4 linked regions of the Alligator mississippiensis genome follow. The protein of the gene in region 4 purifies or fractionates together with the protein of the main gene of each other region. This does not show direct contact. Links are inferred from orthologs where the notes say so. Each region holds a gene or a part of one and is shown on either strand. Other genes may lie near its edges.

Region 1 (7,889 bases), on a different chromosome or scaffold from region 4:
ATCCTCCCGCCGGTGGAAGCTGATGAAGGCAAAGCCCTGGGTGAAAAGCCCATGGTTAGAGCTGAACTGAGCCAAGCCCTTCCCTACCACCCCAGAGGGCCTCTTGCTGCACCTTGGACTGCCCAGTGGCCTTGTCCTTAGCCAGATAGATCCTGGAAATGGAGCCGAAAGGGCGGAACAGCTCCTGCAGATCCGTCTCGCGTGTGTCTTCAGACAGGTTAGTGACACGGATGGTGGCATTGTCATCAGCTGCAAAGAGAGGAGAGTCAGGGCCAGGCCCAGGCGATGGGAATGAGCCCCCAGGACAGAGTTTCCCTGCTGGGCAAAGAACTGCCAGGATGGAGCTCAAACCGAGGCAGGAAGCAGGACCCAGGCATCCGAGTCAGGGCCAGGAGGGGCCCATAGGTCTGATTACCAGGACTTACCCCTGCGGTTGGGTTGCATGGACTCCCCACGGCGGCAGGCCCCATCCCTCAGGCTGGGTGGGACATACTTCCCCGTCTTGCTCTGTGCTGCCTGCACTGGCTCTGGCTCTACAAGGGCAGGGAAGCAAAGTTAGAAGAGCCCAGAGCCTCTGGGACCCGAACCCCTAAACCCCACTGCCCCCACCCCCAAACCTCCAGGCAGCTTCTCCTTCTCGCCAGTGGACAGCCCCAGCTGCTCAGCCAGTTCCTTCTGCATAGGCCCCAGTGTGTCTTTGTAGGGGCAACGTGTGGTCCAATGGTCGCCCTTGCAGATGCGGCATGATACAATCTTCTGGCCCTTCAGCTTGTTCATGGGGTCTTCCTCCTCTTGGCAGTTCAGGTCCTGCAGCAGGCGTGGGGGAATCAGCATTGGAACTACTCCTCTGCAGGGAGCTCCCAAGCCCCCACCAGAGCAGCTGGATGCCCATGGTCCCTCCCCCTGCCCTAGGACCCCACCCCAACCCTTACTCACCTCCTTGCTAGTGATGAAAGTCATGAAGACATCGTCGCTCACAGTTGTTGTGGCGATGCTGGGGCCAGGCGCATCAAATTCTGAGTTGCCAAACTTCTTCCAGTTCTGGGAGAGGCAGGCAGGGGAGGTGTCAAGCTGGGAAATCCTTCCACCTCATCCCACCCAGCTAACTGGGAGACTGGGCAGAAGTGCCCCCTGGTGGCATCTGTTAAATGTAACAGGCTCAACCCAAACCAGAAGCAGCCCTGGGCGTGGGGGCAGAGATGCCACCAAAAAGGGAGGAAATGGACATGGACAGATGTGGGAGGGAAAAGGGAGCAAGGCAGGACAAGCAGCTTGGGTATGTGAAAGGCCCAGTCCCGTCTCATTCCAACCCTCCAATGCCCACCCCCTCCATTTTAACCCCTCTTGCCCCAGCAAGGAGCCCACTCACCTTGCGGCGGGCCACGGCCTTAGAAGCCTTCCTAGTCTCAATACGGAAGGTACGGATGATCTGAGGGAGAAAGACCCCATCACTCACCATATGAGAAATGAGGGGGGTAGCATTCACCCCAAGGACACAGGGAGTGCCCCACCAGCATGACTGCCCCCACATGCAGGATACAGGAGCAGTGGACACAAGGGCCACGACCCATCACACACTTTCTAACATGCCCCTCATGGCTCAGGCTGGGGGAATCTTGCCCCAGCCAGGGAAAAAGTCCCCAAGACAGCCCCAGCCTAACCCCTCCAGCACTCACCTTCACCTTGCGCCCATCCTCCTCCTCACGGTACTCAGTGATAGTTTTGATGTTCCCATTGATTAGCTCCTTTGGGGATGGAAGAGGACCTAAGGGGACAGGGCAGGCAGTGAGATGACTGGATCCATGGGGCTCCCTGGGGCAGTGCCCAATCCCCACTCCTCAGCCAGCCTGGCTCTTACCATCTTTCAGCAGCTCTGACTCGGCCTTGGCCTCTGCCTCAGCAACACTGGCACCCAGGTCCCCACCCAGCACCGCAGTGAGGGGGATGTCCTTGAGCAGCTCGCTGGTGATGCATTTGTCTGGGGAAGAGGAGCAGGGCTAGACCTTGCTAGTCAGTCACTTATTGGGGGAAGGAACAGGGAACTCTTATGGGCTAGGGCCAGGGTGCCACAATGCTACCCAGCGCCAGGTGTGCTCATGCCCCATCCCTGGAGATCCTACAGGGTGCCACTGCAATAACAGGAACTCTTAGCTCTGTGGGGCTTGGGGTGCCCTAGTAACAGGATCTACCCCCCCTACCCCCCCAGGTCTCAACAAGCTACAAAAATGCAGGCTGCCCAGGAAATAAGTTGGAGGGAAGCAGAGAGTGGGTCTGAGGGGAGGGGATTATCACCCCCCAGCAGGTCACCTGTACTGTGGGACCACCACCAGATCAGATAAGGGGCCTGGGGTGGGGGCTGTGTGTTGTGGGGGCAAGGGTTCTTGCCCTGTCACAGGGACGGGCCATGAGCCAGGGCAGGGGCAGGCACCCAGCTTCCTCGATGGGCCTTAGAGCAACACACGGGCCCTTGGGCTAGGCTGGAACCTGACCAGCACTAGGAGACTGCGAGGCCAGATGCAAAGGAGCCGGGGATCCCAATGACCGAAGGTGTCTGCTGGGGGAGGGGGAGGTGGAGTCGGCCCACAGCCCCGTGGGGGGGTCCGCGCCGGGGGGAGGAGAATGTGCGGGGGGAAAGGGAGGGGAGTCCAGCCCGGGTGCAGCCTCTCACCGTCGTCGCCTCCCTCCTCCTCCACTTGGTCGGCCCAGCTAGGCTTCGAGCTGCGGGAGCGAGAGTTAGAGCCGCGCGGACACGATCCTCCGGCCTCCCCGCTCCCACCCCATACTAGGCCACCGCACCCCCCACATCTCCCTCAACCCCCAGCCCCTCCCTCATTTCCGCCCCAGGCCCAACCCCGGACCCCGGGCCCAGCCCGCACCCCGCCCGTCTCACTCGTAGTCTCCCGTCGGCATCGCGCGCCCTGTGCAGCAGCAGCAGCAATAGCCGCCGCCGAACGCCTCGCGCCACAAACCGGAAGCAGAAGGGCCTCACCAGCGAGCACTGCCCACGCTCCTAGAGAGGCCGGAAGGAGATAGGGGAGGAATCACCGCGGCAGCCTTGGGAGCTGAGGGGCCTGCAGGAACTGCCGGATTCTCGCAGTGCGCTCTGGGAAGTGTAGTCCTGAAGGATCTCACGCTTACTAGCATCCGACCCCGGGGTCGCAATGCATTCTGGGAACTGGAGCACCGCACCCGGGCCACGCTGCATACTGGGAGCTGTAGTTCTCTCCCCCGCGCGTTGGCAGGCCTCGTGGTCAGGCCAGGTTCCGCCCCAGCTTCAGCCCACGTGAATGTTATTTTCCACGGCACGAAAGGGTTAAAGGGGGGTGGGGGCAGGCTCAGGGCCCAGCCAGCACAAACCAGGAGCCGGGGCTACTGGGAACCTCAGGAGGCAACTGCAGCCCAGGGCAGAGCTAGAGCCAGGCCCGGGGCAACAGCTGGAACCACCCCGAGGTGCAGGCAAGTCCTGACCCCTGCAGAGGATTTTTTAAGGGGTTCTGAAAGAGGGCATCGTGCCTAGAACGGGAAGTGTCATCGGATCCCTGCGTAAGTTCACTGTGCACTCAGTTCTTGTCCCAGCACCTCAAATACGAGATAGAAGGGCAGTAAGCATGAGAGGTCTGGAGGGACTGCGTTGTGAGGGCAGACTCAGGAGGCTAGGCCTGCTCACTTGGGGGGGGGGGGGGGTGTACTGGGATCATCTTCAGCAGACAGAAACAAGGGGTCACAATGCGAAACGAGCCGCTTGCAAGTTTAAAACTAACAAGTACTTTTCCACCCAACATGTCATGAAAGGGTGGGACTTGTTGCCAACACATGCAGCAGAAGCTGACAGTTTAGCTGAGCTTCACAAGGGGCGATATCCTTGGAGGAAAGGGGCATTGATCGCTATTGAACCCAAGAGCAACTGGCACAGCCTCTGAATCAGACCTTCCTGGACCTTAATGCTGGAGGCTACAAGAAAGCAACAGTGGAAAAAGACCCTGGTCAGACCTGCTCACCCCCACCTTCCAGCCTTTGCTTGCTGTATGACAGGATACTGGGTAAGATGGACCTGTGGTCTGACCCAGTAAACAGCAGTTATGTTCTTATAGAGACTTGGGGGTGGTTTTGCCCTGCACCCTGCAAGAGCTGGAGGAACATCCCTTCTGCTAGCAGCTCCATGGCACCCACTATGGCCAGAAAGGAGGTTGTAGCCCAGAAGCTGTCTTCAGCAGCACAGCCTAGAGCCAGCATTGCCCCCCAACTTGGAGTCAGGCCCCAGCCTCCTCCACAGGGCTGGGAGATGCTGAGAAAAACCAGGGGGGGAGAGAAGAAGAGAGCTCTCCCCAGCATGTAATTTATAGGAGAGATTTATTTGAAGAAATATTACAACATATAAAAACTACATAAAGTATTAATTTCCACTTGTATAAAGTGGTCGATTATTTTCAATACAAGGCATAATAAAAACATCATCCTTTAAATCCAGAATGCACAGGAGGCGGGGCGGGGGGGGCACTGCACAGCTGATCACTAAAATGATGATTAGTTGAGAACGCAACTGTCACAGACAGCCCTTGAGCTTGGCCGGGGAGACGAACACTGCTCACGGGTACAGCTGAACAACAGACTCAGCATGTCGGACCAAAACAAGGAACAGAACAAAACGAAACAAAAATCAGTGCATGTTTGGGAGTCCTGGAGCTGGAGAAGGAGATGGGAGGGCAAGTGTCAGTCCGCAATTTCCATCTTCTCCACTTTGCTGCTCTCTGTGGAAAGAGGTCAGGCCAGTGAGGCAGCAGGTGAGGCCTGGGCATGGCCACCACCAGGGACTGGCTCTGGTGCCAGCCAGCCCCCCTAACCCCTCAAGCCTGGAGTTTGAAAAGTCTTTCCTCTGGTCTGGGGCTTCTAAGGGACCTGTAATTTTGTGGGCAGACCTGGAAGCTACAGTCCTGCCCTCAGAGAACATGGACAGCAGCTGCAAAGTTTTATGGCCACCCACCCAAGCCCGGGGGCCACCCACCCAAGCCCAGGGGTGTTCCCCCTCAACCCAGTGCTGCATGTACCCATGGCTTCCTCTTTCATCTTGGCCAACCGGCACATCTTGATCTCCAGTCCGATGGCCTTGGCTAGTGGTGGAGGCACTGCATTACCAACCTGTAAAGAGGAATGTGGGACTGTGAGCTCACCCACACCCTGCCCTGCCTGCAGTTCTGGTGCCTGAGGCTGCTGCAGCAGCAGCTCAGCTGTCCTAGTGTCAGTAGCCACTCGGCAACTGTGTCCCTGACAACCTTTGCAGGGGGCAGGGGCACAACACCGTGGGGAGGGAGAATCTGAGGCACCCACCTGTCTGTGCTTGTCAAGGATGTTCCCGAACAGTCTGTAGGTGTCAGGAAAGCCCTGGGACCGTGCACACTCCCGCACGCTCACCACGCGGTGCTGCTCAGGGTGTAGCACACGGCCCTGTGGGGGGATGGGAGACAGGGGTCAGCCACAAGGCAGGCAGCCCTGGAGCCAGGGCTGTGGAGGAGAGGTACTGCACCTTGCCCAGCAGCACCTGCCCCTGTGCAAATTGCCCTGTGGTCACCCCAGGGCAAGGGCCAAGGCCTGGAGGCCTCCTGCTGCATTCATGGGCCATGGAAGGGCAATTCTCAGCCCCACAGGGACTACATCCGTCTCTCCCACCCTTGCTTGCCCAGGTACCACCATACGCACCTGCTTGCCCATGGGTTCGGGGTTGGTGACCGTGGTGCTGAAGAAGCCATCCCACTCAAGGCGCCCATACAGCCCGGCCCAGTGATTGTGCCTGTTGCCCGTGTGGGGCAGACACCAAGGGATGAGCGTGTTGAACTGCCGGTCCGCAGAGTCACAAGGCTTCCCTGGGAGGTGGAAAAGCAGCACATACTTGGGTTGGGCTACCTAAGGCAGAGGGCACAGACACCTGCAGAAAACCAGGGAGTAGCCCTTGTCCCTGCCAAGCAGCCTCTAAGCCAAGATAGGCCTCCTGCACCTGCCCCTAAGCCAAGATGGGCATGGGGCCAGAGCCCCGTCTGCTTTTTGCCCACCCCCAGTACCTTCGGCACAGGAGCAGACACCCCGCAGTGCGCCGGTGCTGCTGCGCCCATTCTTCCTCTCGTGGTGCGTGTAGCGCAGCTTGCGGGTGCTGGTGCCGTCCGACAGCCGTACCTCGATGTTGGGCAGGTCACGCCAGTCTGAGCCAGGTGCCAGGGGGATGTGCCTCATTCGAGCTGCTACCAGTGCACTCATGTCCTGCAGCAGCGAGTTCGAGCCCCGTTACCTCCCTGCAGCCTGACACTAGCTGCCCAGCACCATCCCACACAGGGCTTCTGGTCTGAGTGACCCCCAGACACTGCCCCACAACCACAGCTACCCAAAAAGTCCTCACCTTGCAGATGTGGTCCCTGAGGATGGGCTGATATTGAGAGCCCCGGATCTGCCGCTGGAACCAGGACTGGGGCTCCCCATTGTATGAGATCTCTAGTGCTGAGGCCCCGTTCCTGATCTCGGGCAGGTCAGACATGGTGTCCCGGACCGTGATGGTGCGGAAGGGGCCAGAGTACGTCCTGTGGCGGAGGGGTTGAGGGGCCAGTCAGGCAACCAGTCATGGCCTAACTGCCCTCAGCCCCACAACTCTGACTTGGGGAAGGTGCCATGCTATGGACCTGCCATGCCCTTCCCTGGATATCCAGGGAAATCAGGAGCATCTGCACTGGTTCCATGGGCCCCATCCCACTCCACCCGCCCCCATGGCTACCCACATTCACCTGGTGATATTGCTCACAAACTTCTTGTCATCCACCACAACACTGAGCTGGCAGGCACGGGGCGCAAACACATGCAGTGGCTCAGGGAACATAGGCAGCTTCTCTCCGGGGGCCGCAGCCAAGACAATGGCTCTCCGGCGCGTCTGGGCCACACCATACTGGCCGGCCTGTGGGGAGGGGGCATCCAGAGCCAGCTCCAGCAGGGCATTGGGCTCTTCCACCCCTACACATCACACCCACTCACCCCCTAGGGAAGCAGGTGCCTGAGTGGACACATGACATCTCCACCCAAGCCTACGCCCCAAGCAGAAGGGCCTCGAACCTGACAGAGCCTCTACCCAGGGCAGCCTCATGGAGCCCTGCCAGTGCTGCTCAGGCCCCAGACTCCTACCTGCAGCACGCCGAAGGTGCACTGGTAGCCCATGCGCACGAGGCAGCGTAGCGTGAGCTTGAGCACCATGGAGCGCTTGAAGGAAACAAAGTTGCGCACATTCTCCAGCAGGAAGAAGCGGGGCCGGTAGTAGTCACAGTAGCTGTAGGGACAGGTGGGAGCAGGGACAGTGCAGCAGGGAGACTGGGCCGGGACCCATGACCAGTGAGTAGCCTCACCTGCCCCCACACCCTGCCACCCCCCAAGCACCTCTGGGCTCATACAGTGCCAGGGACCCTTACAACACCAAGGGGTCCAGCTCAGTTGTTATACAGGAGGCCCCAGGGCGGTGCTAGGCCATGGGTGCAATGTGCAGGGGCTAGGGCCATGGGGCTCTCCCCAGGCCAAGCTCTCATGTCACATGGACCTTCCCGTGCTGCAGACTCAGATGCACTGCTGGCAGCTGTGCTGGGACTGCGAGGGACATGCTACATCTGTCCCCTTCCAGCCTCTCTCGGGCTGGAGCTTGGAGACTCCTTCCTCCCATCCACCTCACCCCAGGAGAGCCTCAGTGCCCCCCCACCTGAGGAAGGAGACAACAAGGGAATTCTTGAACTTGGAGTAGGTGCGGGAGTTGAAGCGGTTCATGCCGCTGAAGCCCTGGCAGGGGGGGCCACCACACAGTAGTTCCACATCGCCTTTCTGTGGCAGCTTCTGGCCCAGAGTGTTGGTCTTCTCGCCGGCCATCACCAGCT
Region 2 (7,430 bases), on a different chromosome or scaffold from region 4:
TACACATCTGCACAAGCACTGTTGCTGGAGCAGTTTCAAAGTTCACTTACAATATCAGCTTAAGGCATAAAGAATTTGTAAAAATAACAACCACCTTTATAGTCTGTGCGACTCTGCAACAATTCAGTCCTTTAGATGCTTCTTTCCCCTCCAAACTGTATAGGCAGAATCTTCCTATTGCACTGAAAAAAGAAAAACCAAGCATCTTTCCTGCCTTGCTGCTACCTTCCCAGTTCCTGCAACACATTAGCATGGCAAGCATTGCTAAGAAGTCTTGCTGGTTGCATGAATGAAGCTAAAAATAAATCAGACTGAAATGTCCAACCTGGGGCAAGATTCAGGAGTTTTCAGCGGATGCATTAGCTGCTTCAGTCGCAGAACATTAAGGAAGTCGCATAGAAGCCACATGCTGCCCCCACTCTGCAGCTTTGGAGGCTTCCAGAAAAAAAACATCCCAGGTTCTTAAGAGCTGGCTTAAGGTGAAGGAGAAAAACTGCAATGGTCTCAAGTGCCTCCCCTTCCTGCAAAAGGCTCTGGGGAGCAGCAGTTCCACCAATCCAGGATGCCATGGGGAAGCCTCTGCTGAAGAAATACAAACAGGGGCTGCAAGAGCTTTTTTTTAGAAAGGTGCATCTCTCGGGGAATCTAGGCACCGGTAAAGCGCTGCAGCCTCCAAGAGCTGGGAAGGAAGAGCAGGCTAGCCCTCTGGAATGGTTAAAGTTCAGTTTGCCAAGGGTAAACTCATGGAAATATGACGTCAGCAGTGGATAAAAACTGGCTGATCAGCAGCAGTGACCTACTGCAGTGCCTGCCTTGAGAAAGGAAGCTGAAGAACCCTCCTGCTGCAGGCAAGTGCAGCTGGAAAAGAGAAGCTAAAAGGTGCGTTCCACGCTCAGACACCCCCTCCTTCCCACCCAGACCTACGAGTGCCGGAGATGGCTTTCTAAACCCTGGCAAATGGGCTGCTAACTAGCAGCCGCCTTTCCAGAAACCCTGCAGGCTGGCTGTTTGTTCAATTTGCATCAAATGGCTGACAAGTCACAGGCAGGAGAGGAACAGTATGAAGCAACTTCTGTTGCAGGAGGCTGTGCACTGCTTATGCATCACCAAAGCTGTCACAACCTTGTAGGGGCTGGGAGAGACCAAGGCAAGGAAAGGTACTGGACAGAAGCAGCCCTCCTAGGCAGGTGAGGCTTTCTGACAGCCAACATCCTCTTTGCTCCTATCAAGGAGGCAGCCATCTCTCAACCACTCCCCATTTATCTTGTGAGGGCCAAGCCCTTCCAGGATGTTTCCTTAACATCTACGCTTAAGGATAAAGGAGATGGGTCAAATGAAATCCTCCTTGGACTTCCCCCACTGTTATCTCCAACAACCATACCTCCTTGACACTGCCATTCCCGCCGAGATGTAGAGGCACTTGCTACGAGCACCCTGCATTTCCAAAAACATAGGGCTGTTTTTATCAGTGCTCATTCAGGAATTACTGAGCAACTTGACCCAAGTAGGAATAAAACCTAATGCTCATCTTTCACTATAGCAATGGAAAAGCTAGCAACATATTTTTTACTCACCCCATGAAGTTTTCCCAAGCAAGCCTGAGAATAATATTCCGGGTTCAGCTAGACCCATATGACAGTACTCGTACAATATACTAAGCCCATGGCTTTTGGGCCCCGAGAGCTTTTTTTCTCTCTCTCTCTCTCTCCTTTCCCTCTTGATCTTTAGCTAATGGCTGGGTTTGGCTTCAGCTTCTGCTCTGACGGTCCCACCAATGCACACGCACACTGTGATCAGCTATAAACACGCCTGTGCAGGCACCAAGGGAAAAGGGAGGTGCATCTCCTGCCTCTGCTGTTAGCTAGGAAATATGGGACTCTACAGTTCCGCTGGCAGCACGAACTCCAGATGACGCCTGTGAACTGAAGGGTGTTTTAGTGCCGGCAAATCGCACTTTGGATCCACGCGCCCGGATATTGCCGTCACATAGCGAGAGCAATGTTTCTGCAGTAAAAACGTCGTGCGCTTTGGCCAGAAAGGGAAAGAGCGCTAGCAGCAGTTGAGGGAAGGAAGAGAACGGCCCTATCCGTTGCACTGATGCCTCGACTCCCCCCCCCCCCGCCCCCAGCGTCATTCCCCTGCGCCGGTTCCACCTTGCGCACAAGAAACACAATGCAAAGCACGCGTGCTCTGCCACTTCTCTTCGGGGCGCCGAATGAAATGACATCAGGGGAGCCTTATGCAGCGGGAAACTGCAATTGGGGGGGGGGGAGGGATACAAGAGAGTTTCTTCTTCTTCCAAAAAAATATAAAAATAAGAGGGGCTCAGACGAGGTAGCTGCAGCGTGACCCCGACACCTTCGTAGACCCCGCGCTTCGCAGTGCAAACTCAGTGCCAGGAAGCGTGAAAGCCGATGGTGCGTAGGAGATCGTGGGACAAAGATGCGACTGGCTATTTTGGCCGACTCCAGGCTCTCCCAGCCCTGAGGGACCTTTTCAAGGGGTTGGGGTTTTTTTTGGATAACCCCCGCAGACCTCCCAGCATGGGGCAGGGGGGACGGGAGGCCCCGAGACCAAGGAGGACCGGTGGGGGGGTGCACATGGGGGGGGGTGGTCCGGGGTGCCACGAGGCCAGGCCACGCGGGGGGGGGCGGGGCCCGGCCGCGCCCACGTGGGCGCCGCTCCTCCACCGCCCCCTCCCCCTCCCGCGCCTGCGCAGTGCGCGCCCAAGGGTTCCGCCCCCCCTCCCCCCCGTCAATCACCGGCCGCGGCGCCAGCCCAAACCGTTCCGGGAGAAGGGGATGCGGCCCCGAGGGTGTGTGGGGGGGAAGGGGGGCCGCGGGGCTGGGCCCCCCCCGGGCGCGGGGCCGGTAGGGCGGCGGGCGCGGGCCTTGGGCCGCGGCGGCCGAGCCGCACTCACCTGACGCCGCCATGTTGGGCCGAGGCAGAGAAGGCAAAGGACCCGGATGCGGCCGTCACGTGACTATAGCGGCGCGCCCGCCCGCCCGCGGGGCGGGGCCTCGGCTCGGCTCGGCGCGGCGGCTCTGTGGGGCGCGGCAGGCGGGCGGCGCTGCGCGCTGCGGGCGGGCAGCAAAGAGGCAGGGAGGGCGCGGGGTTCGGCTTGGCGTCGCCGCCCGCGCCGGGTTCTCTGCCTCCCCCCCCCTCCCCTGGCATCTTGGGAGAGGGGGCAGCTAATTGCACCAGAGGGCAGTTATTGGGGATGACTGGGGGCAGTACTGCAGTTTGGAGGGGGCCTGTGATTGGGGGCAGTAGAGCAGCTGGGGCAGTTTTGGGGGGGAGAGGGCTATGGGGGCAGTAGAGCAGCCAGGAGCAGTTTGGGGATGGGAGGGGTATGATTGGGGGCAGTAGAGCAGCCAGGGGCAGTTTAGGGGGGGAAGGGGGCAGCTGGAGCCCAGGGCGCTGCAGCCAGCTCTGGGGTGGGGGCTGCCGGACCCTGGGCTCACTGCACCAGTGCAACCAGTCCGGTCACACTGGACCGCTACAGTCGTGCCCCTGCCCGCTGTGGCTTTCCTGGGCCAGCGGAGGTGGCGGGGCAGGGATTCAGCTTTGCCAGCCCCGCGTTCCCCGTCCGAGCGTGCCGCATCGCTGTGGCACGGTCAGGCCGACCTACGTATCTTGGCTCGCTGACGCCGTGTTGGCCCGTGGCGCCGCGCGGGGTGCAGCGTGGAGCTCCTGGCACTGCGGAGGAGGCACATTCGCCTGCTTTTGCCCGGCCGTTTAGGACGGGAAGCGAAGGGTCATCCCCCGGGGGCAAGGCTAATGCTTCCCCAAGGCACCGGGAGTCTTCCCACAGCCCCTGATGGCCGGCAGAATGGGATCGGCTGCCAGGGGACGTGACAGTTTTTTACCCCTCGTCCGAAAAGCAGCCCCGGCTGCAGCACGACTCCTGCCCTGCCCCTGGCACCGCACTGGGGCTTCAGGGGCAGAGCCGCACGGTGCTGGGGTGACGCTTCACAGCTGGCTTGGAAGCAAATTTGGCCCCCTCTGTGGTGTGCAGCTCTCCACCTTCCTACGGGCCCAGCCAGCCCTGCTTAGCTCATGGCTGGACCATGACAGCCCAAAATGAGGGCTTTCGATGCCAGCAGGGAGTGGGCCCGCTGTTCCCGAGCATCCGTGAGATGCCCAACCCCGTTTTTTATTTATGAGCAAGAGTCTCCAAAGGCCCCACTTCTCCAGACTGTGCTTACTATTACTGCTGGCAACACAAGCTTGACTCTTCTCGTGCACCCATTATTACGAATGGGGAAACTGAGGCAGGGCGATGTGTAATTGCCTTGAGACTACACGGGACTAGAACCCAGGCGTCCCGGCCTCCCCGATCCCTCCCATCCCAAGGAAGCCTGTCTCTTGGATTCGGCCCCCCTTACCTATGCAGAGGTGAGAGGGAAGCCACGTAATCCTTGCTTCCCTGGTCCCCGGTTTCTGGCCGGGTCCCCCATGCCCGGGCGCCGTCCGGTTTTTGCTAAGGGACAGCCCCATCTCGGCCCAACCGCTGCAGAACGCTGCACGCCGCCGGGTTCTCGCCATCTGCCTTAAAGGAGCTGGCAATGTCCAAGACCCCCGTCCTCTTTTGAAAGAAATAACCTCTATCAGCCCCTTTTCTGGCTGCAGATTTATCCCGAACAAACTGGGATGCAATAAGGGGTGATCACACGTCAATTGAAGGAGGGAGACGGGACAGGGCTGTTCTGCGTTCTGTTCGCAGCGACTCCCTTCTTGGTTTTGGGCCAGACTTGCTGTAAAATGGGGTTAAGAACAAAGTTAATGATGATAAATGGGCTAGGATGCACACTGAAATACTTCGAGATGATGATACAGTGTACGTAGGTGGAAAATATTAATGAAGAAGTGTTATTTTCTGTCCCAAATGCCATAATCCCATAATCCAGCAGATTAAATGAGGCTGGTGTTTTCTATAGGGATGATCTTCCAGGCACGGGCGAGGACTGGGAATAGGGAAGGAACATTTGCCTATGCTATGCTCTTGTCCATATATGCCATGAATGCTATGACATTCATGGCATATATGGACAAGTATGAAAGCAATTGGGAGGCAAGAGGGTGTAGCAGTTAGGGCACTGCCCTGGGGGCATCGAGACATGAATGACTCCCTCGCTCCAGTGTTGCCCCAACCCCTGCCTGTCTGGTCTGTTTACATTCCCAGCTCTTTGACATCTCACCGCGTTCACAAAGTGCCCATCACTGTTACTGGGATATGCATCATCATATGTGATATCTTCCTCTAGGGCGCCGGTTGTCAACCTTGTTAGACTCATGCCACCCCTCATTAGACTCAAGGCACCCCTCCGAGGATGGCAGCTCTGGTTCTCACTCGCTTTTTGGCTACAAAAAAAAAAAGCAATTCTTCCATTGCAAAGAACAGAGAGACTACAACAGGTTTTAATGCTATGAATTCCCATTTTAAATTTCTGGGTTCATCTTATGAATCACGTTTGAACATCTAACACTGCATGGCACCCCGCAGCACCCTTGAAAGGATCTGAAGACACCCTGGTTGAGAATCACTGTTTTAGGCCATGGAAAGGGAGCCTGTTGTGCTGATGCTGCCTGACTGGTGCATCGGAGACAGCCTGGACAGCCCTTTCGTATACCCCCCGGGGACCTGTGGATGGAGGAGGACAGACAGCCATAGGAGAATACCTCCAACTACTCACTAGTCACTATGGGTAGGGACAACATTATTTTTTTGGTAAAAATATGTGTCTTGTATATAATAAAGGTTTTATATCTATCTATCTATCTATCTATCTATCTACATACACACACACACCTTCTAGTCACTGATCATTGTCTCCTTAACCCACCATAGGTACCGCGCAACCATTACAATATACTGCACCCATAGGATAGTGCTCCCGTACACCCGACTGCAAGGCATCTTCTCTCTTAAACCCTTGTCTCTTAGTCCTGTCCCTGAATACAGGGTTTAAAACTCAGTTCACTCGCTGTTGCTTCTGCTGGAGGACCTGCTGCTGCTGTCACTGCTGCTGCCCTCATTGCTATCTTCTGATCCTGTTGTCTTGATGTCCTCTTCTCTGTCACTGTCTGTTTTCCCACTGGGGAGGTCTTGAAAGATCCTATGCCGAGTGTCCCTCTGCCAGGCGGATTTGGCTATGTCTTCTGCTACCAATTTCTGGTAGTAGGACTGAAGTTTGCTCAAAGCCATTTTAACGCAGTCTACCACTTCGAGGTTTGTGTGTCTGTACATCAGGATGTTCCTGCATTTCCACAGGGCGCTCCTGACGCAGGACACAAACTGATCGAAGCGGGCTGATGGGCGCCCTTGGTGTTTAGTTAGGTGTCGGTACAGTGCCACCTCTCTTGACAGCTGTCCAACCAGTCACTGCTTCACAGAGCTGCTTCTACACCTCCTTGGTGTACGAGCAGAGCCATAGGAGGTGGTCGATAGGCTAGGAACAGAATTTACATATAAGCTGGTATAGAGGATTGGAAACTGGTTCAAATCTGTAACACAACAGAAGTTCATGCACATAAGCCGCTTTCAGAAATGGCTGAAACTGGTTTAAACCTGCATGGATGTGGTATCAGACTTAACCGATTTTCGTTAAATCAGTTTATTGAACTTCTGTCCCAGATCCCCTCCAATTCAAGTTAATTCATGGTCCCCCAGCATCCCAGGATGCTTTGCACCTCCTGCATAAACCCCACCTCACAATGTGGATGGGCTTGGCCCAAGCTGTCTGCTCAAACTGAGCAGGGAGGGATGCTTTAGTGCCCCCCACCCTGCTTCTGGCCTAGGCCACTGCAGGCATGTGGCTGCATTTCTGGAATCAACAGTGCATGTCTGTTCACTTGCTTCTTGGTTCAATCTACGCAGCTTAGACTAACCCGCAAAGATTGAATTGATTCAGCCTCAGGCTTTTTGACTGTCTGCACTGTATCAGTCCCTGTGCTTCTTCCAGGGAGCTGCCCTATTCACTCAGTGTTCCTGCCACGAGATGGCAGCATCACATGGAGGAGGCAGGGTAGACTTGCACCTTACAGACTAATCAAAGTAGGTATTACCTATATAGTGCCAGTTTTCATGAGCCCAGGCTCACCTCATCAGATGCTGTGACAGGACAGGCATTGTGCAGGGTAGCAAATGGAGACAGTGATTTGAACACAAAAGACAGGGAGGGAGGGAGAGGGGGCAGTGCTGGGAGAGACAAGCAGTAAACCCCAGGTAACAAGGGGGTCACAAAAGCTAACCCAGGTCATGGGATAGGAAGTCTCTGTTTAAAGCACACTTAACCGGTCCAGTCTGGGGCGAGTTCTCATTCCCCAATTTCCCATTCAAATTGGTTTTTAAAGGTTTGCTACCTAAAAGCAGCCATGCTCAGGTCAGCAATAGGGTGTCCAAGGTGGTTGAAGGGTCTGCCATGGGT
Region 3 (7,412 bases), on a different chromosome or scaffold from region 4:
CATACAGCACTACAAAATTGTTTTGCAAATTTTGCTACACCCTAACATACAATTTAGACTAGGGGTTTTCAACCTTTTGAATCAGTGTACCCCTGGCAGCAGCACCACCCACCACCGCCTCCAGAGAAACAGGGGGGGGAAGCTTGCCCTGCCATTCCCTTCATCTCCCTTCGCCAGTACCCCACACCACTGCCCACTCCAGTGCCATTGGCCTTGCCCCGCTGTTCCTCTGAGGCAGTGGAGCACCACCATAATGGCAGGGATGGAGCAGGGGGGGGCAAAGCCAGCAACACTGGCCTCACTCCGCCCCGTCTCTGCCGTCATGGCGGCGCTCCACACTGATTGGTTAGTGAAACAACCAATCAGAGTGCTTCAAGAGCATTACGGACAGACAGACAGATGGACTAAGCCCTTTATTATATAAGAACTAGCCAACTGCCGCCCGGGGGCAGGGGAGGAGAAACAACACAAAGACAGAGGCCTGCCTGTGTCTGGCTCCCCCAAACCATGTTTCAGGTCCGGCCCTGCTTCCTCCCAACCCTCTAAATCCAGGTCGGTTCCCACCCTACCTCCCCTTCAGGTCTGGGCCCATTTCCCTCCACTCTCCCACCGCTTCCGATCCAAGCCCATTCCCCCCACCCCCACACTCCGGTGCCACTCCCCACCATCCACATGCTCTGGGTCTGCCTGGCCCATGTCCACCTGCCATCCTTCCCCACTCCCTGCCAGCTGTTGGCAGGGCCTGACAACAGTTGGGCGCTGTCACCGTGCCCCTCCCCCCACTGGCTTTTGTCAGGGCCCAGTGACGCACTCCTCGCTGTCATGGTGAGCGGGGACAGAGTCCCGCATTCGGCCCTGCCCTCACTTCTCATTCAGTTGGGGAGAGAGGCAAAGGAGCCTGCTCCCCACACCTTGGCCCCTGCCACTTTGGGGCCAGGCTTGATTCCCGCCCCCTTTAGGGCTGTTGTCAGGTTGTGGCAGCGGCAAGGCGCTGCCACCATGCCCCCCATCCCACTCCCCTCCCTCCCTCTCAGTTTTAGTTGGGGCCCAATAGCTCAAAGCCTCCCTGTGTCCAGCCCTACCCCGCTTCTTGTCCTTGGCACCACTTGAAGGGAGCAGGGCAAGGGACCCAAGGCCAATGGTGCTGGCCTCACCTCCACCACGCTCCATCCAGTCTTTGGTATCACTTGCAGGGAGCTTGCCCTGCTCCCGCCCACCCCAAGCCCAACCTGCCCACCAGAAGAAACTGACACAGCCCCTGGCCCTGAGCCCACAGCAGGCAGCCTGACCTCATCCTGCACACAAATCCAGTGGGACAAATGCCCCCCATGCCTCCCCTGGGGGTGTGCACAGCAGCAGGAAGCTATCCCCCCTCTGCACAGACGAGCCACCTGCAGCTCCACCCTGTGCCCTGCCCTCACTGGGCAGCACCTGTACATGCCCCACTCCCTCCCTACCGTAGCAGCCTCAATATTCCTCCCCCACGGCCCTTTCCCCACCACCCCAGACTTACCAGCAGCAGGCTGCTCTCCAAGCTGCCGGGTTGTGCTCCTGTAAATCAGCTATTTGATTGTTATCAGCCGATATGGCTAGTTAATACATCGGCCATCAGTATCACCCCAAAAAATCTTTATCGGTGCACCCCTAACAACTACTAATACTTAAATTTAAATACTTAATCCTGTAATGGAATATTAGTACTTGACTGTGGATTGTGTTGGTCTTTCCAACTATATCACCTAATGAAGACTATTAGCTATCTAAGACAAGGGGTGTATTTATAACTATTCACAGGATTTTCTAAACAGAACTGCAACTTGGTGGAGGCCCAAATCTAGCCAGAACAGACATTAGGAAAACTAGCAGAGATTATAGCAGCACCCCTGACACGACCACGGACATACTATTTGTCACATAAGCTCTTACCACAACTGTGAGAGGCAAGGGATTTGGGCAGGGAGTGTTATCTTTTATTAGATGAAGAACATGGTGGAGATGGACTTTGACAAGCCTGGAAATGTAGTGTGTTCTCCCACAAATGTTATTAAATCCAGCTCCTTACAGCTCAGGTGTGGGCAGTGACTGAGAGGGGTTTTCTCCAACTATGCTTGGGAAGAAAAAGCACCCTGTGTTTTTATGCGGATCTCAAAAATCGTCACAATTTTGTTTCTTCGGGATTCGATCCCTCTCTAGGGAGTGAAACCATTCGGAAACTGAAGTACAACAATGCGAACACCTCCTTAAGTTTCACTTGATCAAGTACAAACAGTACGCTGTAACGTGCTGTTTTCCGATAGGTTTCAGGTGGAACGTGACATGTCCACTGACAATTAACAACGATTCGATTTTGTGGATAGCCTTGAGAAAGGTCTCCTCTCCTCTGCGGGGCTCCCACACAGCTGCGACCTTCCCTCAAGGCCCTCATTAGGCGAGGAAGGTCTGAGCTGCGGAATTTACACCATTTGCCTCCCCCCCCAACCCGGGTCATGACCCAAACGTGGGTCACGGGGGCAATGCCATGACGAGCCAAACCGTCACCCCCTAAATCCTGCCAACTGCAACCCCGCGAGGTGCCCTGGGGGAAAGGGCTCAAGCGGGTGAGTACAGACAGCACGTGCTCCACGACGTGTCGCCGCTGGAGGACGGCCAGGAGACGGCGATGCAGGATCCTCTTGATCCCTCCCGCCCCGCACGTGGCATTTCCAACCCGCTCCATCAGGGAAGGCCCTTCCGGGGGCAGGCGGGCGGTAACGTGAGGACCGGCCTTGCAACGCCGGCGGGGCGGCGGCGCCTCGTGCCAGGCCTCGGCCTCACGCGGCCCGAGCCGGGGGAGGGGGCCTGAGCCCGGCTGCCGCGGGGCCCGGCCGCACTCACCATTGGCCCGCTTCAGGGCGTTCTCGGGGCGCTGGAAGTAGACCGGCATGATGGCGGCGGCGCGCTCCCCTCAGCGCGGCCTCTCCCCCGCGCGCCCAGCCAGGCAGCCTGCAGGCCGGAAAGGGAGCGCGTCACGTGACCACCCCCGCGCGCTGACGTGTCCGGAAGCGGAAAGCCCGCCCCTTGGCGCCGCGCGCCGGAGTTCGGGCCGATGGGCGGGGCTCCCGTGTGTGCGCCGGCGTCTCAACCAGTGCTTCGTCACTGGTGTTTGCAACAGAATTTTGGGGGGGAGGGGGACACTTTAGGTGGCCCCAAAATATTGCAACAGATTATTTGGGGTGGGTAAGGGCATACTTTAGGTGTCCCCAAAATATTGCAATTTTTGGGGGGGTGAGGGCACATTCTAGGTGGCACCAAAACATTGCAAGGTTTTTTTTGGGATGGGTAAGGGCATACTTTAGGTGTCCCCAAAATATTGCAACAGATTATTTGGGGTGGGTAAGGGCATACTTTAGGTGTCCCCAAAATATTGCAATTTTTTGGGGGGTGAGGGCACATTCTAGGTGGCACCAAAACATTGCAAGGTTTTTTTTGGGATGGGTAAGGGCATACTTTAGGTGTCCCCAAAATATTGCAACAGATTATTTGGGGTGGGTAAGGGCATACTTTAGGTGTCCCCAAAATATTGCAATTTTTTGGGGGGTGAGGGCACATTCTAGGTGGCACCAAAACATTGCAAGGTTTTTTTGGGGGATGGGTAAGGGCATACTTTAGGTGTCCCCAAAATATTGCAACAGATTTTTTTTGGAGGGGAGGGGGACACTTTAGATGGCCCCAAAATATTGCAACAGATTATTTGGGGTGGGTAAGGGCATACTTTAGGTGTCCCCAAAATATTGCAACATTTTTTGGGGGGGGGGGGGGTGAGGGCACATTCTAGGTGGCACTAAAACATTGCAAGGTTTTTTGGGGATGGGTAAGGGCATACTTTAGGTGTCCCCAAAATATTGCAACAGATTTTTGGGGGGGGGGGTGAGGGCACATTTTGGGTGGCACCAAAATGTTGCAAGATTTTTGGGGGGGATGGGTAAGGGCATACTTTAGGTGTCCCCAAAATGTTGCAACAGATTGGAGGGGCACGCTTTAGGTGGCCCCAAAATGTTGCAGTAAATTTTTTTTGGAGGGGGGCACGCTTTAGACAGCCCCCAAATGGTGCAACAGACTTGGGAGGGGGGGCACATTTTAGGAGGCCCCAAAATGTTGCAACAGATTTGTGGGATGTGGGGAAGGTGAAATTTTTGCAAGGAAGTGGCTCTATTGGCATTGACTATTTATTTGATTCCCCCAACGAATATTAAAAAGATCCACGATACAACTGTTGCAGGGTTATATTTACCTGCGTACCTCTAAGGGGTAAGAAGAGGCCCTTGCCCAACAACCCTAAGGCCCCCACTGATTTCAACCCTTTTAGGTTGCAGGATCAGTCCTAATAACAGTGCGCAAAATGGACGATTTTTGGAGGCAGCTCGTTGACGCAGCATGCAACAGCCAAGTCACTCTCAGGGAGTCTTTTTTTATTTAAATTTTCCATGGTCCAAGCCAAATTAGCCAAAACAAATTTCAAATCCAAAAGCCAGTCCAGAACCATAAGCGGCCCTATTGCCAGCAAACATCCTCTACCCCCATCTGGGGCTTCAGATGTTTCCAAAACCTTTGGCGGGCATCCTACTAGATGCCTCTGAGTTTTGCTTGCCCTTAGCCATAGGGCCTTCGGAGCAAGCAAGGGAGGAGACTCCCATTTCCATAAACTGGGTTTAAAGCCGCTGTACCTTGGCGGGTACTGAACCACTCCAAAAGAGCAGAGCATCTCAGGAAAACTGCTTTCTCAGACACATACATGGTATTTCCCCTGCCAGGTTAAGAAGCCATTATGCTTGATCTGAGTCTTCAAGAAGCAATAACCAACTTTCTACTTTGTTGACTGCTGGCCTTCAACTGAAGACACGCTTCAACTTCGATGACCCAGTTCTTACTTGCTCTCTAGAGTGTTACAATGAGCAATATACAGTAAATAAGACTTATTTGCAAACTTATTTGCAAATTTATATGCATATTTTTTTCCGTGTACAATAGTTTTTCATCAAATATGATCATTTTGAGCTTCCAATACTTTTATATTTAAGACCTGGCAACACTGACTGGTGCTGAGTCCCAAGCGCCCCTAGGGGCCATGAAAGGGCACAGATCCCCCTCCGCTGCGGCTGTTAGTGGCTCAGCCCCCAGGCCTGGGGGCAGGTCAAAAGGGGGGTGTGGATGGCATGCATAGGACATCATCCCATAGCACCCAATGCATCTTGCTCTCCGTCCAAGAGGAGCTAGGGGCAAGACTGTTGTCCTGTTCAAGGTACAAGGAGGAGAAGCCGTTGTATTGCAGTGTGCTTCATTTGCTGCATCGGGTATAATGTGTAAAAGCACAAGGCAGGCATGAAGTAGGCCCCCGCTTTGCAGCTCTGAGACAAAAGCACAACAGAGCAGGCAAGACATTCTCAAAGGATGCTGTTTCATTCAACCCCATGTCATGAGACTGAAATGTCCCTCTCTTGCTCAGATACATAAAACCAAGCCTCACCTCGAGCATCTGGGCAGCACCTTCTCTGCTTGGTGCCAAGTTATTTCCATCCCTGACTTCATGTTTCCAGCTAAACACAGTCTGCAGGGCTGTGAAACAGGAGCTACAGGAGCAGCTGAGAGCAGAATTGCAGAAGAAAGAATAGCTTGGTTAGGGAACCATCAAGACCATTATGAAGGAGAGAGGGTCGTTAACACTTGTGGAATGAAGAGTTCAGAACAGATTTGGTAGACTACAGTGGTTGTCAACTGGGGGTACATATACCCCTAGAGATACTTAAAAAGGTCGTACAGAGTATGCAGAACAAATGAGAAAAAATTACTGTTTTAAAATTATTAACTTTATTGCATTTAATTTGATCTAATAAGCGTACATTTTATCAAATAAGTGCAGCTGCCCCAGGAGTACTGCAATGCCATGTGCCTGGGCCGCACTGCTCCCTCTGCCCACCCCCTGCCCACCATGCACATGGCGTCACACAGCTCCAGGGGCAGCTGCAGTGTACACAAAGCTCAGCGCACAGTGGCTGCCACCTCCACCCCACACAGATCTGAGGGCACATACCCCCCCAGGCCTCCGCCGGGGTGTGTGCAGCAGCAGGAGCCCCCCTATGCCCCTGCACAAGCTGCCCAGGCTCTGATTGTCCCACCACCCAGCCTGGCTGGGGCCCCATTCACCCCAGCCCCTGTCTGTGCCCCAATCCCTCCCTTACCACGGGGGCTCAATCTGCACCCCCCTTCCCCCAGCCTTTTCCCCTCCCCGACAGGCTTACTACTGGTGGGACATGTGCATGCATGCACACGCACGCTCAGTCTCCCCAAATAATTTTTTCTCCCTCTGCATTTAATGTTAATTAGTGTAGCCTTATATCTGCCTGAAACTTTGAGACAGAAGGGGTACACTAGATAAAAAGGGTTGAAAACCCCTGTGGTAGATTATAATGAGCCAGGAAGTCAACTGACTCCCTCAGCACTGCCTGAATAGAAATGCTGTTGCCACTGCCAAACAGTTCATTTTGAACTTTGGGTGGAGCAGGATTCAAAGGCGGGTGCAACTGCACCATTGCGCCTCCTCCCTGGATCTGCCCTTGTCTGCCTCAGACTCATATCACACAAGCTGCATGATACTGAGTCAATAGTTGGTGTAATAAATTGATGTCTTCTCTTCTCACTTTACTTTGCAACCTGGACAGTTGCATTAAAGCTGACATGTCAAACTCACCTGGCCCTGAAGGCTATCCATGGTGTAAGGTCACACTGGGCCAGATGAAGGCTATCCATGGTGTGGGTCCCCCCATGACGCTCGCTCCAACTGGTCTAGAACTGCACCACACCTGGCACCAGATCTGGCCAGATTGGCTCATGAGTTGCAAATGGTGCCCACTCCAGCCAGTCCAGGGAGGATGCTGCATGCATAGTGGGTCCCAGACTGGCTGGAGCATCCACCAGATCTAGCATGCAGGGGGACCCACCCTCTCCCCCTCCCCACCCCATACCAGATCAAGCACCTGCTCTGGCTGGTCTGGGACTGCGTCACACATGGAGCCCACTCCAGGACTTGCACTGTGCATGGCACCTGGCCCAGACTGGCTGGAGTGGGCACCATGTGTGGCTTGCATCCCAGATCAGTCAGAGTGGGTGCCACAGGCACTGGATCTGGGATGCAGGGGGGAGGAGGGTCCTGGATTTGCTCCATGTGGGGCCAGCACCAGAGACCAAGTGATGTGGCTCTGCAGGCTGTTTCTTTGACACCCCTGCTTTAAATGATTTTCCTGCACTACATTATTTAAACCATTATCATGAAAAAAATCTATTGTACATATCTCCACTGATGTCATGTGGGGAGGCTTTGCCTGATATATTGTATTGGGTGTGGTCTGAAGTGCTTGTGCATTGCTGCTTTCTGAAGC
Region 4 (7,934 bases):
CCCCCTGCTGCTAAGGCCAGGGCCAGAAAGCCTTCGGGCCCCTCCACACGCAGAGTAGGCCTGGCTGCCCAGGCACCCAAACAAACAGGGGCTGCCTGTAACCCGATGCTCTGGCCTCAGCATTCCCAGTGGAGGCAGCCAGGCCCTGGCCAAGCACCCCCAGCCCAGCCCTACACACCCCAGGGAGCCTGGAGGGGACCCAGTGGGCAACATCAGCAGGAGGGATAGGCTCAACTCCTACCCCACAACAGCGTAGGGGATGTGGGCAGGGAAGCTCCCTGCCCCGAAACCCCCCCAGCATTAGAGCCTGGCACCTGCTGCGGGCCAGGGGCTCTGGGAAATGCTGGGTTGGTGCCACCTGCCTGGGGCAGGCAAAGGGCACAGTGGGGGGGGCTGTACAACCACACCAGCCCACGCATCCAACATTGCCCCCCCACCCCACAAGCCTCAGATTGAGCCCCTGAATTCCTTGCAGCCGGGAGGAACGCGGCAGAGGACGGCACGAAGATGCCCAAGCTGTGAGAGCCAGCCAAGCAGCCCACAGGGTCACTGAAAAGAGCCCCTGGCCAAGGACAGCATGCCACCCAGCCAGGTGTTTACACCCCATCACAGCACCTGGGAGCAGGAAGGCGGGGGGGGAAAAGCTGGCTCCTGCCCCTGAGGTGCCCAATGCTGCCCCCCTGCAGAGACACACAGGCATGACCCTGTCCCCAGCCTAAACCTTGGGGCCAAGTCACAGGTGGGATTAACCTCACCCCTGCCCCAACTCCCCAGCCCCTCCCCCACGTGCCTGGGGCAGGGCTCCCTGGCAGGGCGCCTGGTGTGCATGCCCACAGGCTGGCGGGGCGCCCAGCGTGCGTGCCCAGGCCCCAGCCCTCGCCCAGGCAGGCGGACGCAGGGGGTGGGGGGTGCATTCGCTGCTGGTTGCACAAGCCTGCTGCTGGAAGAAGGGACTTTGGAGCCCAGCAGAGATCCTGCCTCTGTAACACCGCTCCCGAGCCCCCTGCCGGCACCCAGACAGCTGTGTCCCCTCCCCCACCAGGCACGCAGATCCCCGACCCACCGCAGCCCCCCCCCATGCCGCGGGGCGAGGCCATACTCACCCCCCCACGGGAAAGACTCGGGCCAGCTGAGCGGGCCTGCAGAGACCGTGCATCCGACTGGCTTCGAAAGACAGAGCGAGGATGGGAGAGAAAGAGGAGAGAAACACCATGAGGCTGCAAAGCCGCCGGCCGGGCCGCGCCGGGGAGGGCCCCGCGCACCTAACATGGGCACAGCCGGGCAGAGCCCCCCGCCCCCCTGGCGGCAGGAGCGCGGTGTCGGATCGGATCGCAGTCTGCTGCAGTGCAGAGGCACCGAGACGGAGACACACACAAGCAGACGGAGCAGCCGGGAGCGCCCGAAACCCCACCCCCGCCCGAGCCATGTGGCCTCCCCGCGCTGCCCCGACCTGTCGGCGAAACTCCACGCATGAGTCACTCCCGCCGGAGAGGAGCAGCCTCGGGCCTGGTGCTCCCTGCTCCCGAGCAGCAAGGCCGGACCTCCCCCACCTGGCCTAGACACTGCCCCTAGCACGGACAGACCCCCGCGGGGCTGCCCCCGAACACCACGGCCCCTGGGGGAGCTGGAGCAGGGCAGAGGGGCTGACGATAGATTTCCCCTTGCGGAAAAGGCAGCAAACGCCCCTGGGGTGGAAAAGGGGGCACCCCCTGGGAGCCCCTGCTCACACTGGTCTGCACCAAGCACTGGGCTGGCAGGACGGGGAGCCTGTGCCAGGGCAGCACCTGGGCTAAAACGATCCAGGAGAGCACCTGCTCCCCGGGGCAGGACCCCAGTCGCCTTCCCGAGCCCGTCTACTGGGGTCCCCACGCAGCGCCCGGCACCTGGGCACACCCCACCAGGCCCGTGCCACGGCGGGCGAGACGAGGCAGCCACAGATGGGTCCCTGGGCACCAGCCCCTCCCCGACCTGCGCTGCTAGGGGCCTGCCAAGCTGCGTCCAGCAGCCAGTGCCGCCTTCTCGGCCCCCGCCAGGCCCTTGCCCTTGGGCCAAGACGGGACGCCGTCAGACGGGCCCACCCGCTGAACAAACACAGAGCGCCAGCTCCCTGCGCCCCACCGCCTCGCCCCACGCCCGGGGCCGGCGGGCACAGCGCCCCCGGCCCGGCACCGCGCGGGGAACGACCCTTCCTCAGCGCCGCAGCTCGACCCCGCACCCACCCCACCGCGGCCACGTGCCGCCTGCCCCCGCCACCCCCGAAAGGGCCCGTGGATGCCCAGAGCCCCCCGCCCGCGGGTGAATCCCACCCGCCACGGACCCCGGTGCGAGCGCCCCCGCTCCCGCGGGTCTGCGCAGGGGAGGAGGGAGCACGACTTGGAGCCGGGGCCGAGGCATCCCACTCGGGCAGCCAGGAAGCCCCCAGCCCGGGACAGCCGGGGAGGCGCCGGGGAAGCGGGGGAGGGGGCACGGGACAGGCCCGGCCTCCGCTCTCACTAGGCCGCGGCGCCACGAGGGAGCTGGGCCCGGCTGTAGGCCTCGGGCTTCCCGGCCCGGCCGCCGGCTCGTACCCGCCCGGGGGGGTTAACCCTTGGCGGGGGGGGACGAACCGCGCGCACGAGGCCGAGGCGGCCGCGGCCTCCAAGGACACGTGTCACTGCCGGCGCCGCCATGGGGCGCGGGCGGGCGGGCGGCGGCGCACGTGGGGCCGGGCCGGGCCGGGCCGCGCACGTGGGGGGGGCGGAGGGGTGGGGCGGGGCGCGGACAATGGGCCCCGCGGGGGGAGGGGGGGCGCGGGCCGGGCCGGGCCGCACGTGGCGAGGGGGGGTGGGGGCGGCCGGGCCGGCAGGGAGTAGAGGAGAGGGGGGCCGGTGCGGCGCGGGGGTGGGGGAGGGGGGCGGCCCCGGTACCTTCCGTCCGGCTCAGTCCGCGCGGCCCGACGCAGCCGCAACGCAGCGCAGCACGACCATTTCCGGACCGCTCGGCGGGCGGCGGCGGCGGGGCGGGGCGGGCGGCGCGGCCGGGCCACGTGGCGGGGGACGGGGTGGCGCCGCCGAAGCCGCGCTGGGGGGAAACCGGCCCTCGTCACGTGACAACCCCACACCCGCCCCGAAATCCCGCCCCTTCCGGGACGTGGCGTCATCGCGTCATGCGCCCCGCTTCCGGCCCGCGCCCACGTGAGTGGCACGTGCGCGACTCCCGCCCCCGCCTGAGCCAGCGGGATGCGCCCAGGGCAGGCCTGTCCCTCAGTCTTCTGCCCCGGAGGCATCTGGGCTGGCGTCCATTGCACTAGGGCTGGTCGGCCCCTCTCCCTCCAGCCCCCGACGGGCAGCGGACCGGGCCTGCAGCTCCTCGCAGGGCCGGGGGCAGCCGCAACAGCACCCGGCGGTGGTCCCACTGCAGCAAGGAGCTGGGTCCTGCTCCCTGCAGGGCAGTGGACGGAGATAGAGAAAGAAGGGTAGGGAGAGGGAGGGGCACGAGCGGCCGCTTCCCACCCCAGAGCTGGCTGCATTTGGGAGCGAGGAACGAGCCCTGCAGCGAAGGCTTAAAGTCATCAGCGCGGCCGGGGCCGATGAGGTGCCGGCGGCACTAAGGGATGTGGACACGCAGGAAGCATCTGCCAGCAAGGCAGCAACCCCTAGGGCGCACGGGAGGGCTGCAGCCCCCACTGCCCTGGGGCTGGGGGCAGCAACTAGAGAGCGAGGCTGGCCCTAGGCCTCACCCTCAGCTCAACTTTGTAGCCCCCACCTTCAGCCAGGTACCAGCGACCCCCCCCCCCCCCCCCAAGCCCTGGCAGCAGCCCCAGCCCCCCTGCAAGGAGGGTTTAGGATCAGCCCAGCAGCCTCTTGTCCCCTTCAGCCTAGTTACTGTGCTCAAGTGAGGAGCCTGGCAAAGCAGAGTAGGCTCAATAGCCGCCACATGGGGCTTGGGACAGGAATGGTCAGTCATCACCACATCGGGGTAAACCGCCCCTGGCAGGCAGCTGCTGCGCAGGGGGAAGGGGCATTCAGGGTGCAAAGAGACATCCTGCATGGGGCACCAGGAGGAGCCCTGAGCCAGCACCTTTCCCTCACAGGTGCCCGATGGCACCAGAGCTAGACAGATGCCCTGGGAATTCAATTCAAGCCAGGCCCCACACTTGGCATCAAATGCTGCTGTCTCCCCAGGCCTCCAGTCCGAGCGTCTTGCTAGGAGGCAGGGGAGCCACTGGGCACGGAGCTACCTCCCAGGTTCTAGTTCCAGCTAGAGCCTGCCAGCCCCCTGCCACAGCCAGCACAGGCCACCCGACCCCAGCTGCCAGGACCCAGGCACCCAGGTCTGCCTCACCCCACCTGGAGGAACCAGCTGGCAGCCTATGTCTCCCATAGATTTATTTGCCTACCAGCTCCTCAGTAACAAACAGCAGCGAGGAGCTGAGCACATGCCCCTGCCCCTCCCCCTCCCCACCCCCCTCCAGCCCCTGCCCCACCCCAGCCCCAGGCTCAGACATCATAGTTGGGGTTCTTGCGCAGGATGACGAAGCCCTCCAGGATGGGCGTCACAGGCATGTGCTCCTCTGTGGCCAGCTCAGCCCGTTCCCCATGTGCCAGCAGCACTGGCGTTGTGTGCGTCTGGAAGCCTGTGATGGTCTTTGGCTTGCCTGCCTGCCCCACGACATCCACAGCCTGTAGAAGGGGGTGAGGGTCAGCATCGAGGACATGGAGGCAGCCACAGATACCCACAACCGAGCTCAAGTCTCCCAGGCCAAGACAGGTGCTGCTAGGGCTGCAGGTAGCCCCATGGCACCAACCTGGAGCCCTCAGCCTCAAGCCATCACCTCTCCAGTCTCAGAACCCAGCAGCTCCCCCACTGCCTTCTTACCTGCCCCACCCTGACCGACACAGGCAGAGGCCGCAATTCCTCATCGAACGTCACCAGCATTCGTGGCTGCATGGCGGCCACCAGCCCATACAGGACATAGTGTGACTTGCCCAAGATGACTGGAGGGAGACAGGGGCATTACAGCCTGCAGGACACAGCCAAAGCCACCCACCCACCTGAGCAGCACAACCCAGCTCATCAAGGGTAAAGAGCAAGGGGCTGAGCCACGCACAACCTTCTGCTGGGTACCCTCCCTCAGACCCAAAAGTGCCCTGTGGGCAAGGACCACCATACTCACTGTTGCGCACATCCAGGAAGGATACAAGCACAGTCAGCAGCCCCGCCACAGCCACCTGGCTCATAAGCTGCCGGTCACTGTGGTATGGACACAGGGTGAGGGTCCCCTTCCCAAGGTGAGTCAGCCCCTGCTCAGCAAAAGGAAGGTGCATTAGGACGGGGCCCCAGGCCAGCACCCTGGGCAGGGCTCTGAGCCCCAAGACACCCAACTCCAGGCACTTACCTGAGCCAGCCGCACCATGAAGAGGTTGTTGGGGTCCTTGGCATGGTACTGGGCCAGCTGTCTCAGCATCGCTGCCAGCCGGGCATTGTTGGTGCCTGCACAGGAACCAGGGGTGAGCAGGAAGCTAGGAACAGGCTGCAAGCCCCAGCCTGGGTACCAGATGCCAGACACATCCCTACCACTTCTCCAACGAGTGATCCGGAATGAGGTCTACCAGGACTCTGGGCTGTGTATCCAGAAGTGAGGGGCCCCAGGGCAGTACAGCTGCATGCACACATGGACAGGCTCAGCTGCCACTCCACCCTGGGCAGGACCCACCCCCAGCAGTGAGATGAGATGGCAGCATCTGCCCAGTGTGACCCAGCTGGCACTGGGGCTCTGCTAATCAGGAACAGATAGGCAAAGGAAGGTTGAAAGAGAGCCCTGCTACTCCAGCATCCAGCTGCTGAGACTACAGTAACCACCCCCCCCATCCCCCCAGTTCCCTCCTGCACAGTGCCAGGGGCCTTACCACTGCCCACCATGCCCATGGCAAAGATGGAGTTGTAGGAGACTTCAGGGTCAGCATCATGTGAGAACTTGCTGAGGGTGTCAAGGATGTTGAGGCGTGGGTTGGAGACGGAGATCAGAGCCAGGGCCAGGGGCACAGCGCGGCGCAGCGTAGGCTCCCCATACCGCAGCTATGTCGGGAGGGATGGAGACGTTAGAGCCTGGTGGCAAGCTGGGCCCTGAATCCCTCACACATGCCAGGGAGTCCCTGTCACAAGACTAGCAGAGTTCTCTGCAGTGCTGGGAGGGGATGTGAGCAGGCAGTGGGCACCCAGGAAACACGAGCAGGCAGTGCCAGGCTGAGGGGTGGCACTCCCTGTCTTCTCCTGCCCCACACCTAGAGCTCCCTGTGAGGTCCATCCCTCCCTCTGCAGTGAAGCCTCCTCCCCTTCCCACATCAGTGCCATCACTCACCAGGTGGCCGAAGGTGCGCAGAGCCATCTCGGCGCCAATCTCTTCCCCCATGGCAATGAGCGCGATGCCCAGCACAGCCACACCCTGTAGAGGGGGCGGACATGCGGGCTGAGCACTGGCCAAGGCATGCACGGACCAGGTCCTAAACCACCCAGCCTGACCAGGCCCAGTAGGCCAACAGCTCTGCCCCTCTCCCCATCCCAGGGTGAAGGCTCTCTCCAGAGCCCTCCCAGGCCAGGCCAAGCCAGGTCTTCATGCCAACAGCTGGCTTAAGCTGCCCCTTGGGGCTGCCCAGCTCAAGGGAACAGAATAGACACCAGCCATGCCCCCCTTGCCTGTGGACAAAGCAGGCAGATTCTGCTGGAAGCCTTTCCCTGGGCAGACAAAGGCCAAAAGCCCTGCATGCCCCGCCTCACCTGGTGGGCCCCCATGTCAGCTGAGCCTTCTTTCTTCTCCTTCTCCTTCTTGTCTTTCTTGTCCTTCTCCTCCTCCTTCTCCTTAGAGTCAAAGTGCTCACTGCAGATGTGGAGCAGCTGCTGCACCTTCAGCACATTGCCTGAGCCTGTAGGTAAGAGAGGCCCATGGGATTGGCCTTATGAGGAGGGGCAGGGTCCTGGAGCCGACCCCCTCTCAACCTCCACCACTGCTGGGCAGGGCTGGGACTCACCAGCATACGCACAGATGTCCACCAGGGTGTTGGCAAAGCTACGGAAGGGCTCCGACACCACCTCCAGCGCCGCCAGGATAGCCTCGATTGCCTCCCCCTTCCCTGCGGGGCAGCAGCAAGGCCTGTGAGAGCAGCCAGGCCCAAGGGTACAGACTCTGCAGGTGCCAGGAGCTGGTGCCTAGCTGGAGGCCCTCAGAAGGGCACCTGAGCTCGCCTTGAGGGACCTCTCTAACCTTAGGCAGCCTGTAGCAAGCCAGAGCACCCCACACCCCCAACCTTGTCCTATCCTTGTCACCTGCCTGGGTACTACTCCCCTTAACATCTGCTCAGCTCCCCCAGTGCTGCCCCCTCATAACCCCAATCACACGGGCCTTTGCAACCGCAGGGGATTATGGGGTATAGCAGAGCAAAACCATCATTCAGGCCACAAACCAACAGGTATGGCATGTGTAACTTAAAAGCTCCTGCTCTGTAAACCCCAGCATGTTGGGAGGACCTGCAGAGCAGCCACACCAGCCCTATATTCGAGGGGACGCCCCACTCCACATAGCCCCAGGCATGTTCTGCTCCCGGCTCACCACCCAGATCCAATGCCACCCCCAGCCCTCCCCTGGGCTCACCAGCCCAGCCCCAGCCTGCAGACAGTGCCTGCCTGCCCAGCTGTACCCAGGTGGTTGAGGCCCAGGCCGAGTGGCAACCAGCGAGCATAAGTGTCCTTCAGCTCCGTCTCAGACTTCTCCATGATGGTCTGGAGAATGGTGGAGGTGACGTCCCCATTGCAGGAGCCCACAGCAATCATGCCACAGGCCAAGGCCGTCACGCCAGCCACCTGGCCAGAGGAGAGAGCACCAGTCAGAGACTCACTGTCCCAGCACTGTCTGGTCACAGCCCTAAGGAGGCTGCACCTGTACCCACCAGGCCAAGATT

The links.
Region 1: the proteins of EIF4G1 (region 4) and EIF3G purify together in Homo sapiens (affinity purification with mass spectrometry; 3 studies listed by BioGRID, with this or other methods). This does not show direct contact. The link is inferred for Alligator mississippiensis from reciprocal best matches to the Homo sapiens genes EIF4G1 and EIF3G.
Region 2: the proteins of EIF4G1 (region 4) and EIF4B fractionate together in Homo sapiens (co-fractionation; 4 studies listed by BioGRID, with this or other methods). This does not show direct contact. The link is inferred for Alligator mississippiensis from reciprocal best matches to the Homo sapiens genes EIF4G1 and EIF4B.
Region 3: the proteins of EIF4G1 (region 4) and EIF3A purify together in Homo sapiens (affinity purification with western blotting; 4 studies listed by BioGRID, with this or other methods). This does not show direct contact. The link is inferred for Alligator mississippiensis from reciprocal best matches to the Homo sapiens genes EIF4G1 and EIF3A.

What each region holds. Positions count from the first base shown.
Region 1 is NC_081831.1:22,141,909-22,149,797, forward strand, and holds the start of EIF3G (eukaryotic translation initiation factor 3 subunit G), read right to left. Parts: upstream 3,004-7,889; 5' UTR 2,911-3,003; coding exon 2,891-2,910; intron 2,719-2,890; coding exon 2,669-2,718; intron 1,979-2,668; coding exon 1,859-1,978; intron 1,766-1,858; coding exon 1,677-1,765; intron 1,430-1,676; coding exon 1,370-1,429; intron 1,042-1,369; coding exon 937-1,041; intron 808-936; coding exon 618-807; intron 534-617; coding exon 426-533; intron 250-425; coding exon 113-249; intron 37-112; coding exon 1-36. Other genes in the region: DNMT1 (DNA (cytosine-5)-methyltransferase 1), read right to left, coding at 4,611-4,748, 5,326-5,442, 5,695-5,858, 6,054-6,249, 6,386-6,563, 6,765-6,931, 7,156-7,297, 7,718-7,889. UniProt on the Homo sapiens protein: RNA-binding component of the eukaryotic translation initiation factor 3 (eIF-3) complex, which is required for several steps in the initiation of protein synthesis.
Region 2 is NC_081838.1:9,390,382-9,397,811, forward strand, and holds the start of EIF4B (eukaryotic translation initiation factor 4B), read right to left. Parts: upstream 3,001-7,430; 5' UTR 2,934-3,000; coding exon of another isoform or gene 2,921-2,933; intron 200-2,920; exon of another isoform or gene 183-199; 5' UTR 95-182; intron 1-94. UniProt on the Homo sapiens protein: Required for the binding of mRNA to ribosomes. Functions in close association with EIF4-F and EIF4-A. Binds near the 5'-terminal cap of mRNA in presence of EIF-4F and ATP.
Region 3 is NC_081829.1:87,766,734-87,774,145, reverse strand, and holds the start of EIF3A (eukaryotic translation initiation factor 3 subunit A), read right to left. Parts: upstream 3,004-7,412; 5' UTR 2,924-3,003; coding exon 2,875-2,923; intron 1-2,874. UniProt on the Homo sapiens protein: RNA-binding component of the eukaryotic translation initiation factor 3 (eIF-3) complex, which is required for several steps in the initiation of protein synthesis.
Region 4 is NC_081830.1:83,637,377-83,645,310, forward strand, and holds the start of EIF4G1 (eukaryotic translation initiation factor 4 gamma 1), read right to left. Parts: upstream 3,013-7,934; 5' UTR 2,907-3,012; intron 1,165-2,906; 5' UTR 1,104-1,164; intron 1-1,103. Other genes in the region: PSMD2 (26S proteasome non-ATPase regulatory subunit 2), read right to left, coding at 4,479-4,661, 4,858-4,976, 5,156-5,282, 5,378-5,472, 5,889-6,057, 6,341-6,424, 6,757-6,902, 7,008-7,109 and 1 more.